Sus scrofa: one gene and its partner. The protein of the gene in region 2 interacts with the protein of the main gene of each other region in a pairwise test. Links are inferred from orthologs where the notes say so. Each region holds a gene or a part of one and is shown on either strand. Other genes may lie near its edges.

Region 1 (3,500 bases), on a different chromosome or scaffold from region 2:
GCTGATGAATTTGTCCGAGCAAATGCCACCAACAAGCTGACAGTCATAGCTGAGCAAATAGAACATTTGCAAGAACAAGCCAGGAAGGTAAGTCTCGCTTTTAGGTAGGCTTTCATTTTCTTCATTTAGTTCCCAGGGTTGACTGAACTTGCGTATAATCATTGTAGCTTTTTCAGTACCTTCTAGAAATATAGAAGGGCTGAGTGAAATAGAATAAGCCCAAGAAGTTACGTGCAAGGGTTTTCACTGGGAGAAAGCTCAGTGAGGTAAAGCATTAAGAGGAAGAATGTTTGTTTGTTTGTTTTTTGTCTTTTTGCCTTTTCTAGGGCCTCTCCTGCAGCATATGGAGGTTCCCAGGCTAGGGGTCCAGTCGGAGCTGTAGCTGCCAGTCTGCGCCCGAGCCACAGCAACGCCAGATCTGAGCCACATCTGCGACCTACACCACAGCTCAAGGCAATGCCGGATCCCTAACCCACTGAGCAAGGCCAGGGATCGAACCCGTAACCTCATGGTTCCTAGTCGGGTTTGTTAACCAGTGCGCCACGATGGGAACTCCCTGTTTCCACATTTCGAGTGGGATGCTCATTGACGACGAGCGCCTGTGACTTCAAATACGTAATTGCTGACATCTCTGTGGTTCTCAGGTGTTGGAGGATGCCCGCAGAGATGCTGACCTGCACCATGTAGCTTGTAATATAGTGAAGAAACCTGGCAACATTTACTATCTTTATAAACGGGAGAGTGGTCAGAAGTATTTTTCCATTATTTCTCCAAAGGTAAGGGCAGTTCATTTTTGCACAGAAATCTCCTCTAGACTTTGAGAAATGCTCGGGTGTGTGGGGGTGTGTGTACAGGAAAATGTAGGCCTAGGGGTTAAGTGGTTTGCTAGAAAACTGGAGGTGCTGTGAGCCCAGACAGGACTCTAAAAAATATGCATGTACTTAAATCATTTCGCAGTCATTACCTCTGTTAAGGGGGCAATTTGGGAGCTCCAATCGTGGCTCAGTGGTAATGAACCTGACTAGTATCCATGAGGATGCAGGTTCTATCCCTGGCCTCGCTCAGTGGGTTAAGGATCCTGTGTTGCCGTGAGCTGTGGTATGGGTCGCAGATGTAGCTTGGCTCTGGTACTGCTGTGGCTGTGGTGGAGGGTGGCGGCCACAGCTCCAATTAGACCCCTCTCCTGGGAATGTCCATGTGCCGTGAGTGTGGCCCTAAAAAAGAAGAAAAAAAAGGGAGGGATCTGACGTGTGATGTAATGCTTTACAAGATTGATTCTGACTGGTCTGCCGTGAAAAAAGCCAAAAACGAAAATTGTGGTGCAGTTAGGGAATGAGCTCGGTTTCCTCACCTCCTGCCCTGCTCAGAACGGACTCCTTTGCCTCCTCCAGGAGTGGGGGACGAGTCGTCCTCACGACTTCCTGGGTGCCTTCAAGCTACAGCACGACTTGTCCTGGACTCCGTATGAGGACATCGAGAAGCAAGATGCTAAAGTCAGCATCGTGAACAAGTTGCTCAGCCAGCCCGCGGCGCTGCCTCCAAGCACAGAGCCCAGCTTTCAGGGGTTCATCTCCACCGGGAGCGGACCCTGACCAGCCCTGTCCCGGCAAGGACCTCTCACCTCCTTGTTGCCCGATCTCTGCCTTGACGTGGGGGTGGCGTGAGAATCACGGGCGTGTGGGTGACTCCGGAACTTGGGGAAGGTGGTCCTGAGCGAGTGTAAACGCTGTCACCACTGCTTTTAATCGAGATGGTAAAGCATCACGTCGTGTCTTCTGGGGTCCCCTCGGGGTCACAGGCGCCCAGCCAGCCAGTGTCGGAGGGCTGGCCCGTGCGCTGCCCTTCCCCTTGGTCTCCGTCTCTTCTCCCATAAGTTAGAGCGTTAGAGAAAGTGGGTTTCTTTTTCCTGCAAAAAGGTTGGTGCGTCGCTCTCTAGAGAGGACCGTTGTTAGTCTTTTTGTAACTGGAAGGCTCTGGATCGAGCTTGCGGGTGTTTGACAGTTGATGCCATCACTCCAGCTTCACATTCACCTGGGAGCCAGATACTGGGGGCTGGCGCATGATAAACAGCTTGGCCTGGCGAGCGAAAGAGGGTGTGATTCTGGCACTTCTGCACTGTGGGTAAGATTTGGCTTGTTCCGTCCTGCTCTTTCTGCTGAGCTGGGATGACCAGGTTTGAGGAGGGTCAGCCTCTAAACTCACAGAATTTAGACTTGGAAGGGGGGTGGGAGGCTGCCACTAACCGTGACATGAATCCACTGTCTAGCCTCTGTGAGCAGGAGGGCCAGTGTTCGGCCATCTGCAGCAGGAAGGATCCATTCAATGACAGCTTTAGAATGTTGTAGAGGAGAGAGTAGGACAGTGGGTGAGAACCAAGAAAAACAGCTAACTCGTTGATTATGAGTTAACTTAGATTGAAATTCATTTTGACCTGAATTTTTCAGGGATTAGCGGAGGCTGTTGGCTGAGCTCCTTTGGTTTTGACCGAGTTCTTGTGGGACTCGACCCCCTCACTGTCTGTCTGTTCAGTGCAGTTGACTAAGTTGACTAAGTTGACAACATGCTGTTCTTCTGTCAGTGCCATACAGTCTATCACAAGGTGCCATAAAAGGAGTGAGGGGAGTTCCTGCTGTGGCACAGTGGGTTAGTGGTCAGCTTGTCTCTGTGGGGGCACCAGTGCGATCCCCGGCCTGGCACAGTAGGTTGAGGATCGAGCATTGCTGTTCCCTGTGGCGTAGCGTGAAGCTCCAGCCAGGATTTGACCCATGGCCTGGGAACGTCCATACGCTGTGGGTACAGCTGGGAAAGGGAGATAAAAGTGGAGGGGTGTAGTGAGATCTGGACTGGAAATCACAATTGCCCGCATTCCTCTTTGGGGGTGAATGTCCTTTGTGCTGCTCTGCTTGGCGATAGCACAACCCCGTGATCTTGGAGGCCATGGCCTTTCTTTGTAAGCTTTGCTCCTTGTGAGCTGTAAAGGGTCTGCAAAGACCTGGCGTAGGTTGGTGCTAGGTCCTGACGAGGTCACACAGGTGATGCTTGGTCACTCTGTTCATAGGAGGAGGCTGTGTGGAGTCAGCTCCAAAAGCCTCTGGCTGCTCTGCTGCCGGAAGTGGGGGACACACACACTCTCTCTCTCTCTCTCTCTCTCTCTCTCTCTCTCTCTCTCTCTCTCTCTCTCTCTCTCTCTCTCTCTCCCTCCCCCCCCCCCTCCCTCTCTCCCCCACTAATGGTACAGTAGTTGATTCTAACCGCAGAAAGTTTCTCAGATTTTCAGAAGGTCCTGACTTGCGTGGTAATGACACATTTTGCGTAGGTGCTTTATTATTACCTACTGCTGCATTAGTTATCACAAACTCAGGGGCTTAAAACAACGCACATTTATTATTTCAGAATTTCTGGGTCAGGAGATGAGGCACACTTAACTGAGTCCTCTGCTTCAGGGTTTCTCACGAGGCTGAGGTCGAATCACGGGCCCGGCTTGTTTGTGCCTTTCTCAG
Region 2 (4,049 bases):
CACGTAGGCCGGCAGCTACAGCTCCCATTAGACCCCTAGCCTGGGAATCTCCATATGCCCTGGGAGCGGCCCAAGAAATGGCAAAAATAAAATAAAATAAATAAAATAAAATAAATAAAATAAAAAAATAAAATTAAATAAAATAAAATAAATAAATAAAATAAAGTAAAATAAAATAAAATAAAATAAAAAATAAAATAAAATAAATAAAGTAAAAAAAATAAAATAAAATAAATAAAATTAAAAAATAAAATAAAATAAAATAAAATTCAGGAGTTCCCATCGTGGCTCAGGGGTTGACGAAACCGACTAGGAGCCATGAGGTTGCGGGTTCCATCCCTGGCCTTGCTCAGTGGGTTAAGGATCTGGTGTTGTTGTGAGCAGACGCGTCTGCTACCTACCTGTGGTGTAGGTAGCAGACGCGGCTCAGATCCCGCGTTGCTGTGGCTCTGGCGTAGGCCGGCAGCTACAGCTCCGATTGGACCCCAAGCCTGGGAACCTCCATATGCCGCGGGAGCGGCCCGAGAAGAAAAAAAAAATTAAAAAGGAATTGTACTTCTGAATGTATACAGAATAAGCAAGAAACTGACGCCCTCTGAAGGATGAAGAGAGGGGTGTTTTTTCTTCTTAAATGTAAAAAGCTTTTTAAACGTTTAAAAAGTTGCATCTTCTGCACATATAATTTTAGAATTTCTCTTAGTTGATGGCACCATTAAAACAATACTGTATCGCCCTCTCTTTGTGCCCCCATCAACCCTAAAGTCTCGAAGGGACGCTCGAGGACCCGGGAGAGAGGAAGGCAGGACCCCGGCCTCCCCGCGGCGGCGGCGCGCGGCACACCCCTCCACTCAGGGCAGAGAGGCGTGTCCGCGCCATCCTGAGCAGTGGCCCGTTAGGTTCTAAGGAAGCCTGGACTCCTCCCTTCGTACCAGTTCTCAATCATCTCCTTAATGGCATTAGCCGGCCGCTGGATAACCTCCCCTGCCGCGATGCGGTTCACCACTGTCTCGTCCAACCGCCGGATAACTCCCGGTACCTGCGACATTTTGGCGCCAGAGCAGGCCGTGTAACGGTGAGACGCTCACTGGAAGGGCTTTCAGCCAATCTCCTTAGAGCTTCGCACCCACATCCTTCCAGCAACACTGCTGACGCCGTCCCGTCCCGCCCTCTAGCGGCAACACCACTTCCGGGACAGAGAGGTACTGATTGGGCATCTTGAATGCCAGTCAAGTTCTTAGCTCCATGATTCCTGTTCTCTTAGCCCTCCTTAGGCGGCTTTAGTGCACTTTGCAGCGAGAAGGATATGCGCCTGCGCGCTAAAAATCAGTGTCCGCTCTTCCTATTGGCTCATGCTTGCGGCAGGGGAATACGAAATCTCCAGCCAATAGGAATCAAGGTGCCGGAACCCCAGTGGTTTCCCCAGCTGGGGTGATCTGGCGCAGAGCGGAGTTGGCGCTTGGGGATCGCTCCTGCTCCTCCCCTCTCCTTGCGGCCTCCGGGAGGTCGGCCCAGATCCAGTGGTCTCCCGTGAGATGTGGATGACGCCCAAGAGGAGCAAAATGGAAATCGAGGAGCCTCGGGGTTTCCAGGCCGAGTGGACTCAGCGTTACCTGGTTGTGGAGCCTCCGGAAGGCGAAGGCGCCCTGTGCCTGGTCTGTCGCCGCCTGGTCGTAGCCAATGGCGAACCCGATGTCAGGCACCACTACGAGGCGGAGCACGATTACTACGAGCGGTATGTGGCGGAGGGCGAGCGCGCGGCCCTGGTGGAGCGTCTGCGTCAGGGCGACTTGCCCGATGCCGCCCCGCTCACCCCGGAGGAGAGAGCTGCTCGTGCAGGCCTCGGGCTCACCCGCCTCTTGGCCTTGAAGGGTCGCGGCTGGGGTGAGGGGGACTTCGTGTACCGGTGCATGGAGGTGATGCTCAGAGATGTGCTGCCTGATCACGTAGGCGTTATGGATGGCATTGATTTATCTCCGGAGATCACGCAGCAGAGGGTCCTAGACATTAACCAGAATCTACGCAGTCAGCTTTTTAACCGAGCCAAGGACTTTAAGGCCTATTCCCTTGCGTTGGACGACCAGGCTTTTGTGGCCTATGAGAACTACCTCCTCGTCTTTGTCCGCGGCGTGGGCCACGATTTAGAGGTGCAGGAAGAGCTTCTGACCATCATCAACCTGACTCAGCACTTCAGTGTTGGTGCCCTCATGGCGGCAATCCTTGAGGCCCTGCAAACTGCAGGGCTTAGCCTGCAGCGGATGGTTGGACTGACCACGACCCACACTCTGAGGATGATTGGTGAGAACTCAGGGCTGGTGTCATACATGAGAGAAAAGGCTGTAAGCCCCAACTGTTGGAATGTTATCCATTATTCGGGGTTTCTTCACTTGGAACTGTTGAGCTCCTACGATGTGGATGTTAATCAGATCATAAATGCCATATCTGAATGGATAGTTTTGATTAAGACCAGAGGCGTTAGGCGGCCAGAATTTCAGGCTTTACTAACTGAATCGGAATCAGAGCATGGTGAAAGGGTTAATGGACGCTGTCTGAACAATTGGCTTAGAAGAGGGAAGACCTTAAAACTAATATTTTCTTTAAGAAAAGAGATAAAAACATTTTTGGTTTCAATAGGGGCAACAACGGTCCATTTCACAGACAAGCAGTGGCTTTGTGACTTTGGCTTTTTGGTGGATATTATGGACCACCTTCGAGAACTCAGCGAACTATTGAGAGTAAGTAAAGTCTTTGCTGCTGCTGCCTTTGACCATATTTGTACCTTTGAAGTTAAGCTGAATTTACTTCAGAGACATATCGAGGAAAAAAATCTAACACACTTTGCCGCCTTGAGAGAAGTTGTTGATGAGCTTAAAGAGCATCTTCAAGAAGATGAAAAAATACTTGATCCTGAAAGGTATCAAGTAGTGATCTGTCGCCTACAAAAAGAATTTGAGAGACATTTCAAGGACCTCAAGTTCATTAAAAAGGACTTAGAGCTTTTTGCAAATCCATTTAGCTTTAAAGCTGAATATGCACCTATTTCAGTAAGGGTGGAGCTAACAAAACTTCAGGCAAATACTAATCTTTGGAACGAATACAGAACCAAAGACTTGGGGCAATTCTATGCCGGACTGTCTGCTGAATCTTACCCAATTATCAAAGGGGTTGCCTGTAAGGTAGCATCCTTGTTTGATAGTAGCAAGATTTGTGAAAAGGCTTTTTCATATTTGACTCGAAACCAGCACACCTTGAGCCACCCATTGACAGACGAACACCTCCACGCCCTGTTTCGGATTGCCACCACTGAAATAGAGCCTCAATGGGATGATCTTGTGAGAGGAAGAAATGAATCGAATCCATAAGCTTTTGTAGTACAACACCGAAACACTCAACAAGAATCCAACTCTAAAAGCAAAAATATGTTTGATTTTCAACTTTACTAATTTGGATTGTGGGAGAGTACCATGTTTTTTCACCCAAAGTGAAAAAACTTTCATCGCAGACATTTTTCACAATTCAAATGCTTCAGACAATTTTTTTTTCCTCTTTTCAAGAGGCAGCATGAGACTGAAACATGCAGATACCTTTTTTCAAAACTTGGTGGCAGAGTCATTATCTTTTGCTTTTATGATATAATTGTTTTTTAAAAAGTTCAGTATTAATCATGTGAGTTGAATTAGGAGTCTGTTTTTAAGACGTTTCAAAGAAACTTTAGCTCTTATTTTAACAAAGCGTTGAGATTCTGATGCGTATAGTCTGAAATTATCAACTCCTTAAATGTATGTTTGAGCCAGTTTGCAGAAACTCACATTAACAAGTGCAGAAGTTTCTGAAAAGGAAGAACGTACATACAGAGGAGGTATTTTGTCTAACTATCAAAATGTTTGAGACTATTTTTTTAGACACATTTCTGAGTCTGAAGTAAATACAGACATATTTTCTCCCTCTCACTCCCCCACCTGCCCTAGTGATAATGATATTACTCATAGAGGAAATAATCAATTAAAATTTTAGTCAGAGGAGCAAGAATTATTTTTAAATTGTTGGTTCAG

Evidence for each region. The genes of interacting proteins can lie anywhere in the genome.
Region 1: the proteins of EPM2AIP1 (region 2) and C6H1orf50 interact in binary tests that used the Homo sapiens proteins (3 or more experiments, as listed by UniProt). The two-hybrid records come from large-scale screens. The link is inferred for Sus scrofa from reciprocal best matches to the Homo sapiens genes EPM2AIP1 and C1orf50.

Annotation. Positions count from the first base shown.
Region 1 is NC_010448.4:168,661,580-168,665,079, reverse strand, and holds part of C6H1orf50 (uncharacterized protein C1orf50 homolog), read left to right. Parts: coding exon 1-87; intron 88-644; coding exon 645-776; intron 777-1,391; coding exon 1,392-1,592; 3' UTR 1,593-3,500.
Region 2 is NC_010455.5:21,876,614-21,880,662, forward strand, and holds the start of EPM2AIP1 (EPM2A-interacting protein 1), read left to right. Parts: upstream 1-1,249; 5' UTR 1,250-1,532; coding exon 1,533-3,359; 3' UTR 3,360-4,049.